Arabidopsis thaliana: one gene and its partner. The protein of the gene in region 1 interacts with the protein of each later gene in a pairwise test. Each region holds a gene or a part of one and is shown in the gene's direction. Other genes may lie near its edges.

Evidence for each region. Proteins that work in one complex are often made in the same cells at the same time.
Region 2: the proteins of AT2G22510 (region 1) and AT1G01240 interact in a two-hybrid assay, tested with the Arabidopsis thaliana proteins (one large-scale study listed by BioGRID).

Annotation. Positions count from the first base shown.
Region 1 is NC_003071.7:9,566,326-9,573,448, reverse strand, and holds AT2G22510 (hydroxyproline-rich glycoprotein family protein), read left to right. Parts: upstream 1-3,664; 5' UTR 3,665-3,747; coding exon 3,748-4,122; 3' UTR 4,123-4,426; downstream 4,427-7,123. Other genes in the region: AT2G22530 (Alkaline-phosphatase-like family protein), read left to right, coding at 1-208, 349-478; AT2G22520 (uncharacterized protein), read right to left, coding at 826-1,383.
Region 2 is NC_003070.9:95,794-102,487, forward strand, and holds AT1G01240 (uncharacterized protein), read left to right. Parts: upstream 1-4,072; 5' UTR 4,073-4,889; coding exon 4,890-5,885; 3' UTR 5,886-6,194; downstream 6,195-6,694. Other genes in the region: AT1G01225 (NC domain-containing protein-like protein), read left to right, coding at 271-364, 761-1,449; AT1G01230 (ORMDL family protein), read left to right, coding at 1,827-2,012, 2,664-2,812, 3,115-3,253.

The DNA of each region.
Region 1 (7,123 bases):
TCATGTACATTGGTGCAAATCTTAGAAACCACTCAAACTCAACAATATCAACTCACCGGGAAACGAGTCTTGGACAAATTTTGAAGCTAAAGCTCGGGTTCCCTTGCCTTGTTCCGCTCTGCATCAACTCAATACTCTTGACCGCATATACTGTGGTCTTACTACTCATGAGAAATCACCTCTTTGTATGGAGCGTCTTCTCTCCCAAGTGAGTCTTTGATCCTGTCTGCTTTATTCGGTTTTTCAATCTGATTTTTCTGGTTTAGTTCGATTTGGATCAGTTTGGTTTTCGCTAAAAAAAAAAGAAAAGATTGTTGCTGATTGTGTTTGGTGTACAAATGGGAACAGGTACCTATATGTGTGTGCAACCACTCTGTGCACATACATCGGAGTTTGTATCGTCGCAGCTACTGTAACCTACACTTTCTATGTCACTACCTTCCTTAGAAGCAATCGCACAAGACACAACAACTCGTAGTTATGGTCTTTTTTATTATATAGGAGGGAGATAGAGACTAATAGAGATACTGTGATTCTGAAATTTAAAGTAGAAGATCATGGGATCCAGTTATTTAATTTCACGAGTCTGCTTAAAACAGTACTTTTTTTTAACTGTATATATCTACTTTTTAGTTAACAATTTATTATCTTGAATTTACAGTTATGAATTCAACACTGAACTACACTAACGTAGAACAATAAATTACCACACAAAAAAACATAATATGTAATTGCTTTACAAAACCAAACAAAAACTCTGCAAAACAATTGGTCTTCTTCTTTACTTCATTCTAGTTGTCGATAGTTTAGAAGACTCATTGGTCCTCACTCTCTATAACAAAATATTGGAATCGGTACGTGTCTTGGTGACGGAGCAGCATCCATTGTGACTGAACCACTAAACAGTTCTCGCTCTTGAATCTGCAGTGTCTTGATTGTGCTCGTAGCTTTAGCCGACTTCTCCTGAACCTTCGCTTTAGATTGCGATAGTTTCGAAGGTTTCAATAACGTTTCCTGAACATCAGCTTTAGACTGTGATGGTTTCGAAGATTTCAATAACGTCTCCTGAACATCAGCTTTAGATTGTGATGGTTTCGAAGGTTTCAATAACGTCTCCTGAACATCAGCTTTAGACTGTGATGGTTTCGAAGGTTTCAATAACGTTTCCTGAACATCAGCTTTAATTTGCGATGGTTTCGAAGGTTTAAAAGGAAACTTTTGTGGGTAACAAAAACGTTTCAAGACAAAGAGATGAACCTTTTGATGAACATGTAAAACAGAGTTACGAGAGAAGAAGTAAAAGCCAATTCCGTGTTTTGTAAGAAACGGAACGGCATGAACCTCTCTGACGAGGTAACGGTGTGTTAACATAATAATCGACATCTTCAAGAGAGATTTGATGATTGGTCGGAAAATGGTAGACTTATCTATTCTTCTACGAGTTACTGAGAGCTTGATCAAGTAATAATTGTGACTAATGAGAGGGTTCAAGGTTATTTATAGAAGTTGGGTTCTTTACTCGTAGAAAATAAAAGAAAATTGATACAAACAAAAGGAAACATGAGTCTGTCCGTTTGTGATATGTTTCCTTTTTATGATTTAGGACTGTCGGTCTCACTTATTTTGTTTTCCTTAATCTGTTTTACCTTAATCATGTTTTCCTTTACTAAGTTTGAAATTTTTTCAATTAAACTTGATTATTACAAGAAGTTTCTAACTAGTTTAAAGGACAAGTTAGGGTTTCTCGAGAGTAATTGAATTTAGGGTTCTTGAGAGTCAAAGTTAACAACCCTTTTTGTTTGTTGGGAGATCACCCTATTTATACCGTCGGGTCCTCGTCAAAAGTAATTCAGGTTTGAATTCATACCAAAAAAAGAAAATTTAGGTTTGAATGTTTTTTTTCATCAAACATTGTAAAATTATGAAAAAAGTATCAGATTAAAAAACAATTGGAAATAAGAAAACTCTTTACTTCTTGTTAGTCAAGTACTGTGAAGATTAGTGGATACAGATTATTTGCTAAAAACAAAGATAAATAGACAATAATTGCTCCACAAAACAAAATCTAATTGAGTAATTGGTCTTCTTCTTCTCATTCAAGTCGTGCTTAGCTTTGAAGACTCTTTGATCATCTTTACACCACAAAATATCGGAATCGGTACATGTCTTGGCGAAGGAGCAGCACACATTGTGACGGAACCATCAAAAAATTCTACTTCTTCACTCGGTGTTTGAATCGGTTTCTCATGAACCGTATCCGGTTTAGATTGAGATTTTCCGGTTTTAGACGGTTTAAAATAAGCTTTTTGTGGGTAAGAAGGTCGTTTCTTCAAGCCGGAGCGAGGAACCACTTTTTGACGTACATGTAAAAAGGAGTTACGACAAAAGTAATGGTAACCAAATCCTTGTTTTGTAAGAAACGGAACGGCAAAAAAGTCTTGGACGAAGTAACGGTGTACTAACATTATCGACAACTTCAAAGAGAGATTTGTGTTCTTCGATGGGTTCTTGTTCGTCTATTGCTTTCTTAGGAACGAGAGCTTAATCAATTGATAGTAAGAAATAATGAGAGGGTTAAAGGTTATTTATAGTCATTGAGTTCTTTACTAATTGGAATCCAAATCAAAAAAAAAAAAAAAAGAAGGAATTTTACTCCATTACAAATTAGGAAACATGTTTATGTAAGTTTGTGTTGTTTCTTTTTTTCTATGACTTACCGATATCTGCGTTATTGTTATTTCCTTAATCTATATTTATTAATTTTCAAAATATTATCGCTTAACAAAAAATATTAAAAGATTCTCGTCTTCTTCTCATTTCAAGTCTTCGTTAGCTACTTAGCTTCGTAGACTCTTTAATCTATTTTTTAAAAAAACAAACAATGTCGAGAGAAATATGAAATATGTATAATGTATTCCTTGTTTGTTAAAAAAAACACACACTCTTTAATCATCTATCTGACGCAAAAATTAGAAATATGTATTCTTTATTAATTTCAAAAAAAAATTAACATGTTATTCTTGTTAAAAAAAAAATTAAAAAGGAGATATGTGTTGCTTCCGGACCTTCCGCCATGCAATATCACTATTTTAACATATATATACTGTCGCAACAAATAAAAGCTCATAAACCATAATTAATTAAATCTATTTGTTGGTTGACCAAACAAAATATTAGTTGTAAAAAAGTAAATATTTCCAATTAAACTGATATTATTTGCTTTTCACCTATTCTCATCAGATATTGTCGCTTGTATTTTTTAAAATTAAACCAAAAACAAACCGAATTGTTTTCGCTATACATAGTCACTCATCGAAGTTCAAACAAAGGCCAAACCAAAAGGCAAAACCATCGGATTATAAATTTATTTATTGATATACTAATTTTCTAAATTTGTTTATCAAATTATTTTTCTCACTTTTTTGTAGTTCTTTTATTTGTGAAAATTTATTTTATTTTATAATATTTAAATAAAATATAATACATATACATTAAACTAGGTTAGCTGAAATCTCCATGTGTCATGGTTGTTTCTAGTTAGAACTTAGAAGTGACCAATCTTACTTGTGGTTGTGGAACAAGTAACTCTAAATAAGTTGCAACAACAAAACTTCTTCAAACCTACTTCTCATCAAACCTCAAAACCCTAACTCCTCTATAAATACACACAAACTCCTTCATAATCTCTCCATCATCACTCACAATCAAACCTCTTTCCAGTGACAACTCAAACCCCTAATCCCCAAAATGGCTCACTGGTTGTCATCCCTAGTCATTGCATTAACATTCACAAGCTTTTTCACTGGTCTCTCAGCTAGTCGCCACCTTCTTCAATCAACACCAGCTATTACCCCACCGGTTACAACAACATTTCCACCACTTCCCACAACCACAATGCCACCATTTCCTCCTTCAACTTCTCTTCCTCAGCCAACTGCGTTTCCGCCATTACCAAGCTCACAAATACCTTCTTTACCTAACCCAGCACAACCCATTAATATCCCAAACTTCCCACAAATCAATATCCCTAACTTCCCAATTTCTATCCCAAACAACTTCCCATTCAATCTTCCCACCAGCATTCCAACAATCCCATTCTTCACTCCACCACCTTCCAAATGAGAAGCTAATTAAGCTCTATAGCTAGCTACTGCCACACAACACATGACCACGATACCATCTATCTATTGTTTGCATATTATGTGTTGTAAACTTGTAATGTTTTTTATTCTTTTTTTTGTCTAAGTTTGTTATTCTTTTACTGTCGTTTGATGTTATCCTTGTTGTTGATGTTGTTTTCTTTTAATCAGTTGTTTTTGTAATATATACAGCTTATTCTTATTCTAGTGATTACAAACTTTCTTGTTCCTCTTAATCTCTGTAAACCAAACAATATAAATTATATACGAATTATCATTCCCTGAAATGTTTGCATAGACAACTCAAATTACATGAGACATTCTGAAAAAATTATTAATCAACGTTTAATTCAATAATAACTTTGTCTTTTTATCGTTTAATCAATTACCTGAGCAAATCACGGACACCACCAACAATTTTAGAAGAAACCTTACCGATGATCAGATGAATGATACGACTTGTCCCTGGCGATGAAGCCCAGGCCCATAACTAGGCCCAATATATATGATCACATATGGTCCAAGATAACTTATCGTTATGTGCAGTAATTTACTGAAAACCAAAGACCATATTTTTATGTAATGTCCGTATAGCTAGGACTTTTAGAGATTGTGTCTGGCTAGAATAATTGCCCATTTCATAATTCTGAGAATTGAAAGAAATTTGGTATGCTAAGTTTTCCAATGTAAATCATTCAATGACAGTAGAGAGAGCTTCTGTCTTTCGTCAAAGGGAAAGCCATCAAAAAAGTCAAGAGTCAACAACTTCTAGGCCACTCCGACATCTTAGGTGACACGTGTGAGTTTGGTAAGAAGATTTAAAACGGCTTTTACTTGGCGGGAGAGGTACAACTACAAAGTCATTAGTCAACTCTTTTAGACCCTTTTTGGCCCAAACGTCCTCTTCGGGCCACACGGAGTTTATTAAATCGTGGTTTAATTGCTTAATTAATTTATATTTTATTTTATTTTTCCTTCTTTATTTGTTGCGTAATTAATTGTTTTCTTCAAATAAATAAAGTCAATGGTGGTATAACTCATTTCTTGCCGGTACAAGACCGAATGAAAAACATAATTTACATCACAAATGATAATTTTGCGATATTTTTTTATATAATGAAGTGAACCCATTTTGTTACGAACGTATAGTCAAATAACAAGAACTAAGTAGCCTATAAATATTTTTTCTTTTATAGTTAAGAAATTTGGAGGTCATGTGGATTATAAATTCTTCAAACCAAATTGGAAAACTAATTAGATCAAGCTTTAAAAAAAAAAAAAAAATGACTCGGATTTTTTTATAGTAATAGCAGTTCCCAGTTGGAACATGACTCGGATTAAAAAAAAGTGTATAATTGTAATCTTGCACACCAATCTGTCCACAACAGTTGGAAAGTTTAAAAAATATTAAACAAGTTAAGAGTACGTTTGGAAGGTCACCGTGATTATTATAATTAGATTAGTGTTTTATAATGTCTCATTGTAGTTTGACAAAGCCTGTTAGAGTATTATACTAGCCAAAAAACAGAACACGAGAAAAATAAAATAACACACATAGCTGTATTTCTTTCTTATTTGTTTAATATAGTGAATGTCAAAATACTTTTCTGAAGTACTAACAGATAAGAACTCAGTACGTAGCCTATTCTTGTAGTTTAGAAATTGGAGGTCATGTCTCATGTGTATAGTAATTTTCTTCAAACCAATGTTTTTTTATCGAAAATTAGATCATGTTAAAACCTTTTTTTGTTTTTGTCATAGTTCCCATTTGGAACTTATTAAAGAAAAACCAAATAATTATCCCCGTTGGATCTAGCTATATTAGTAATCTTGCGCTTATCTTTCCAACAACAATTGAATTTTTAAAAATATTAGATAACTTACCGTGATAAATTCCAAAACAAAAGTCAGTCACCGTGATAAATATAATCCGATTAGTCCATGTAATGTCTAATTGTATTATATCATTTGATAATGCCTGTTGGAGTATTAGAGTAGATAAAATAACATACATAGCTGGAATTTTTTCTTAATGTTGATCTCTTTAATATAATATAGTGTAAAAGTTAGTTATTTAGTAGTCAAATGTTAAATTAAATAGTTCACGATGGAAAACTGGAAGAAGACGTCAAAATATACTATTGACTTTTTTGTGCGAAAATATACTATTGACTAAGAAAACTAAAAAGTGGTATGAAAGACAAGTCAGAGCATTATTATTGCTTGTCTCTTAAATTAGTTCTTAGGTTAAGAACATCTCATTCTATCTCTTATATAAGAGATAGAATGAGATGTTTTTAGTAATCAATTACAAAAAAAAATCTTAAGAACTAATATAAGAGACAACCAATAATGATGCTCTCAGAAGCCTATTTATATTTTCAATTAGAATGTCCGGTTTAAGAGTTAAGACCCTTGCACGCGTGGCCTGAGCACGCCAACATTGCACAAGCATACGAGTTTACTATATGAAAAGAAAAGTCAATTATGTAGTAAGTGAAAATAAAATCTCATAGAAACGATTTGTCTTCTTTAACAACAAAATTAATAAAACCGATTTGTCTTGTGAAAAATTAAAAGAGATGTTTCTAGGCTTCTAGCAGAGACGTGGTAAACACTAGGGTTTTAGATAACACTGTAGGAAAATTAATTGGGTTTTGGTTAATGGTTACACAGCTAATTCACCCTTATTTTTTCTAAGAGGAAGAAAGAGTAAAAAATTAGTAAATTTGAGAAACGTTAGCATCGTAACACCAAATGACTCGACTACTCTCGTGCTTCACCGCATAGTATTTAATTATCTTATTTGTATCAACACAATGCATGAGTTCTGTATATATGAGTAATAAACAAACGTGGAATATACTTTCATGAGATGCAAAGTGGCAGAGGCATCAATGTAGGTAGGTAAGTTCTCTGAGGCTGCAAGAAGAATCTCTGTTTTTTATTTTAAGCAGAGCTTTATATATAGACGACGCCAATGG
Region 2 (6,694 bases), on another chromosome or scaffold:
AGGTCAAAAGGCCCCGGAAAATCAGTACGTTGGTAGCATTTGGATTTGGAGATAACGCCGTTAAAAGACTCTGTAACGGGTTTGCTCAACAGCTCTCTCTAGTTCGTTTATCGAATTAGATAATGCCACTCCAAAAAACGTTACTTTACCTTACCTATCTCGCTGACGTCAGATCCCACCGTTAGAGCTTACACTTGTAACGCCGTTTCCTGCATTTTCCACAAGCAAGGTAAAAAAAAGCTTTGTGCAGAGAGAGAGAGAAGAAGAAAAATGGGTTTGCTTACGAACAAGATTGAGAGAGAAGAGCTAAAGCCAGGAGATCACATCTATACTTACAGAGCAATCTTCGCTTATTCTCACCACGGTAACTTTAGATTCATTCTTCCCAAGTTTGCTCCTTTCTTTCTCGTTCATTCAATCATAACATCAAAAAGTGAAATTATCCTCAATGCAAGTCTTTTCTTTTAGTTTCTACTGGTCGGTTTAATCTTCTTATTGAAACTGTAAATTCACAAAGTTGACGACTTTATCTAGATAGATCTTGAAGACAATGGTCTATATTCCAATCTTTGCATGACCTAATTTCACCCTGGCTCTGTATTTTGATGTTATTCCATCATATCTTCTGATCTCTGATGGACTTTATAGATGATTTTTGTTTATTTGACATATTTTTATCCCAATTTCCTCTGGTGATGAAGAATTGATACTGTTGTAGACATTCCTTCATGGGCTTTGATTTGATTGTGGATTTTTGCAGGAATCTTTGTCGGTGGGTCCAAAGTTGTTCATTTCAGACCTGAACACAACCCCATGGATTCATCAACATCATCAATATCATCATCTTCCTCTGAAGATATCTGTTCCATATTTCCTGATTGCGGTTTCAGACAACCGGACAGTGGAGTAGTCCTTTCTTGCTTAGACTGTTTCCTCAAGAACGGCTCACTCTACTGCTTCGAATATGGAGTCAGTCCATCGGTTTTCCTAACCAAAGTCCGCGGAGGGACTTGCACAACCGCGCAATCTGATACAACTGATTCAGTCATCCACAGGGCAATGTACCTTCTCCAAAACGGATTTGGCAACTACGACATTTTCAAGAACAACTGTGAGGATTTCGCGCTCTATTGCAAGACCGGTTTGCTTATAATGGATAAGCTCGGTGTAGGGAGAAGCGGTCAAGCTTCTTCAATTGTTGGTGCTCCTTTGGCTGCACTCCTCTCTTCTCCTTTCAAATTGCTTATTCCAAGTCCCATTGGTGTGGCAACAGTTACTGCTGGTATGTACTGTATGAGTCGCTATGCTACCGATATTGGTGTTAGAAGCGACGTCATTAAGGTCTCAGTTGAGGATTTGGCTCTCAACCTTGACGTAAAGACCATTGAGCAAGGTGAAGAAGAAGAAGAAGACGAAGAAGAAGATTCTGATACCGACTATGTTAGGTGACAAACAGATACCTATCACCTTTGTTCACGAATTTCGATATACATAAGAAAACATTTCAGTTAGAATCCTCATGTTGGTTTTATGTTCCCTTTATTGCATTTGTTGGCCTATTTTCTGTCTGTACAAAATGAAAACGCAGACGTTTTGGTTTGGGTAATGTCAAAAATATCCCAATAATTAATTAATGCCCAGTGTAGATGCAAAAAAGCAGTCGTCGTCTTTCACGGGCACACAAAATTAAACCAAAGAAACAAACAATCCTTGTTCTCGCCGAAATAGAGAATTTTGTGAATCTGGGTTTTTAGTTCAGGTGTTAATATAAGATTTTGATCAAAAGAAGACGAGATTCGATCCGATCCGATCTGATTGAAGAAGAAATGGCGAATCTGTATGTGAAAGCGGTTCCACCACCGGATATGAATAGGAATACGGAATGGTTCATGTATCCAGGAGTTTGGACGACTTACATGCTTATTCTCTTCTTCGGTTGGCTCGTTGTTCTCTCTGTCTCTGGTTGTTCCCCTGGAATGGCTTGGACTGTTGTTAATCTCGCTCACTTCGTTGTAAGTCTTCGATTGTGTTTATGCTTTAGAGATGATTTTTTCACTTAGGGTTGTGACTTTAAATTAGATGATGGATTGATTCCTTGTTTTTTTTTTATTTCCTGAGATCTGGATGTGAATCTGGCTCTAGTGTTTGAATTGATCTCTTTGGTTATTAGCAATTTTTTAGTTGGTTTAGGGTTCGAATGAAGAGGCAATTACCTTCTGATTGATCAGTTTTAGCTATCGTATATCGTTGAGCTTGGATCAGGCTTCGAATTAGGATACAGTTACCTTCTTATCAATGAATTGATCAGTTTTGGTATCAGCGATTTTGAATTGATCTGTTTGGATACTATCAGCAGTGTTGACTGTTGAGTTGATCAGGCTTTTAAGTAAGATGCAATTCTCTTCTAAGTTTGAATTGATCGGTTTTGGATCAGGCTTCGAATTAAGATGCACCTTCTCGTTAATGAATTATCAGTTTTTGATATCAGAAACTAAAACTACCTATGGCATCAATGCAATTTCTTAAGGTCTAACTGTTTGATATAATGCGGTGACTTGTAAATTGGCATTGCTTGATTGTCAAAACCAAATTTAATCTAATTTCTAATTACTCTTTAGGAAAATGTGATGTCTGAGTAGAAATTTGTGGATATTTGTTGTCAGGTAACGTATCACAGCTTCCACTGGATGAAAGGAACTCCTTTTGCAGATGACCAAGGAATCTACAATGGTTTAACTTGGTGGGAACAAATGGACAATGGTCAACAGCTTACCCGCAACCGCAAATTTCTTACCCTAGTTCCTGTTGTTCTGTAAGTCCCAGCACCTTGTTCCTCAAAATCTCACCACTCTTGTCTATTTCCAATCTATATTTTCTTAGCAAATTATTTTCTTTAGCTGCATATATCCTTGTGTCTCATATGGTTAATAAATATGCTAATTTCTCAATACACATATCTAAATCCGGTGATGTGTAACGGACTAGTTCTAGAGAACTCTGTATACGCGATAATGTGTATAAACAAGAGCTGCATTTATCTGGATGAACTTTTAAGATTGAGCTCTTTAGCTTTTGTACTTGTTTTCTGACTTTATAACGACACATTTAAAACAGGTACTTGATTGCATCGCATACAACAGATTACAGACATCCATGGCTGTTCCTCAACACACTCGCTGTGATGGTTCTCGTTGTTGCCAAGTTCCCCAACATGCACAAGGTACGCATCTTTGGTATCAATGGTGATAAATAAGTTTCCTTTACGGCAAGAGAACACCTGAAAGAAGGAAAAGGGGATATAAGCGAACATATATATGTGTAAATGTTCATATGAGTTGGTTTAATTCTCGAGTCATGTTTTTTGTTGGATATTTGTAAGTAAACTCTCTAATTTTGAAGCTTTCATCTTTTACCTTTTATAATAGACACGAAAAAGCTTTCCCTTCATCTCCCCACTTCACTTCAGATAATGGGCCTAATAGCAATATGGGCTTGAACAATAATTGAATTTAACAATGGCCCAAAGATTCCTGTCGTGGTGACTCATGAGTTATCATAACACCAGAATGTTTTCGATTGAGCGTAATGATTCAGTGGGATCTAAAGAACACGTGGCTGCCTACAAGATCTCTAACAGCTGGTTAATGACACGTGTCATAGTTAAAGTCCACCTGGATGGATATTATATCATGGTGTACGTATACAAAATAGTTAATCCCTCTTCAAAATTGAATAAAGCTAACAAAAGTAATCAATTAACGTGATTAAAAAAAAAAAGAGAATGCTAATTGGACCCCGAAAACATGATATATCCTGCAAAATTAAAGCCGACAAAACGAAAGAATGACTAATTAAAGTTGGAATAAGACTAATGATTTTTTTTTTTTTTTTTCTTATTGTGGTCCAATGTAAGAAAATAAATAAAAACATCTTATCCATTAAATCGAAAGTAGGGTCCATATCGTAATAGCCGTCGATTCTCTCTTTAGCCAACACGTGTTGTCAATCCAGCTGTTTCAGATGCTTACCAAGCCAAACAAGTTATTGAAACTGTGTCGTTTTGTGTCCCTAACTCGGAAGCTTTTACGGAAGAAACTGTAAATTTGGTTCCATGGGGCCAGAGAGTGTGAGAAACGAAAATTAAAAAAAAAGAGAAGAAAAGCCAAAAGCTTCGGTCGCGCAAGATCGCTTCATTTGTTTCTAGAGTGATTCATGGATTCTTTAAACTACTAATAATGGTATCTTTAGTTGTTACTTCGTTTTCTGATCTATTTTACAAATCTTACTCTTTTGCTCTGTTTTCGTGGTTTTGTTTAGATAAAAGTCTCTGTTCTTCTAGTTTCTTCCATCAGACTGTTTTCTCATGGATCAGTGATGATTTTTGTTTCCTGGGTCAACTTCTGATTTTGGAATTTCTGAAAATTTTGGTAAATTTACTCGATCCCATTGCGAAATCTTACGCATGATCTTTGTAGTTTGCTCTGCTCAAGACTTTCTTTTTTTTTGGTTCTGCAGTATGTCTTAATTGCTCTGAAACTTATGTCTTGTTGTGTTTAATTTGGTGGTGAAATATATTGTCTTCTTTATTCCTGGATCTGTTAAGATTGTTTAAGATTTCATATACGTTGAATTGGTTTTGATTGAATATATTTTGGTTCCCAGACGTTGCGTGTATTATTTAATGTAAATTCCTTAAATCATTGGCTTATCTATGAATCAATCATTTGCTTAGAAGCAATCTCATGAGTAGCAAGAAAAACGAATTAATCCTTCCCATGTCTTTTATGTTTATATTACAGGATCTGGGTGAAAAAAGAACAGTCTTTTGATTTGGTGTGTTTCTCTTTTCTCTTAATTTTTTAGGATTTTTGTTGTGTCTTAATGAAATAATGGGAGCAGCTGAAGCAAGAGCATTGTGGCAAAGAACAGCTAGTCGTTGCTTTGTTGTTCATGAGGATGCTAAGATGGCTCCGAGGTTAGCTTGTTGCCAACACCAACAATCTTCTTCGGGCAACACCGAAAAAAACAGCTTTTCTTCCGGAAGTTTTGGAGATTCCTCTGATTTCTCTTGTGATACCAAATGGTGGCTTAAGGGATCAACTGGTTTTGATGAGGAGGTTACAAACTCCTTTCTTGAAGATACCAAATGCAAGAAATTGCATGAATTTGTCGACTTAATCGGAATACGAGAAGAAGAAGACTACAGCTTTATTAGCAAGAAAGCTGACGCTACAACACCGTGGTGGAGAAGCACGACGGATAAAGATGAATTAGCTCTCATGGTGGCGACTAAATCGGTTGATCATAATATCCAGAATTGTGATCTTCCTCCACCTCAAAAACTCCACAAGAGTATTCACTCCTCGAGTGGAGAAAAAGGGTTTAAAACAGCGGTTAAATCGCCATGGAAGCAAGGAGTTTGGAAGGATCGGTTTGAGAGATCTTTGAGTTACAATGGTAGCACAGAGAGCAAGAACACGAGTCCAATGTCTTCCCCTAGAAGTGATGATCTAAGCAAAGGTCAGCTTTTAGAAGCACTAAGGCATTCTCAAACCAGGGCAAGAGAAGCAGAGAGAGCAGCGAGAGAAGCTTGCGCTGAGAAAGACCGTGTGATAACAATCTTGTTGAAACAAGCGAGTCAGATGTTGGCTTATAAGCAATGGTTAAAGCTTCTTGAAATGGAAGCTCTTTATCTGCAGATGAAGAAGGAAGAAGAACAAGAGGAACAGGTCAAAGGAATGAATCTGAAGAAGAGAAAACAGAGAGGGGAGAAGAAGAAAAAGGGTGAGACTGGGAGATATATGATGGCTTTTGCATTAGGGTTTAGTCTCATTGGTGCTGGTTTGCTCTTAGGTTGGACTGTTGGATGGTTGCTTCCCTTCTAGAATCTTGAAATGTCTTCTCTTTGGTCACTCATCTTTTCAAGAGTTTTAGGTTTTATAACTTTTCACTTTACCTCTAAAATTGTGTGTATATTTTGTTAATGTATGTATTGTGTGATGTTTGTGTAAATTTAATCTTCTGTAGAAGTTTATTTGGTTAGGGTCTCTCTCTCTCTCTCTCTCTCTGCTACACAAAATTGAGAAGCATCAAACTTGGAAATTCATCAGAAGCTTGAGAATGTTGGAATCAAATAAATCTTATATTTGAGCTGAAAGTTTGCTACAAGTGGACCTCATTTGACCCAATTTTCTAATTAAGGCCCATATGTTTTTCAGACCCAAACTTTTTTATTTTATAATTTCTTTTTAGGGGTTCCAAAAAAATAATAGTATTTGCGTTTTGAACTTCTAAATTCTAAGCATGGTGGAATAAGATTTAATGATTATGGTCTTAGTTGCTTTAAAATTTATCACGGATGTTTAAAATTAAAAGTGTGATCACTTGAATAGTTTGTGTTTATGCATGCTTCTGTGAAATATATACAAAACTTTTTGACTAAATCCCAAAATTCAAATCTGTATAACGAATTCCTTTGATAAATGTGACTTTAAAAGATAATTCCAAAACATTGAAAACATATGTGTTTTAACTTCTTCTTTTTTTCTTTCAAATATCATACAATAGGCAAGTCTGGATGATGAGACGTCAATTACTAGCACCGACGACTAAAATACATGTTTTCATCATCAAATGTCTTTAAAATTCATATCTCTTTTGTTTGTTTGTTCATATCTAAGATAGCAATTAATAT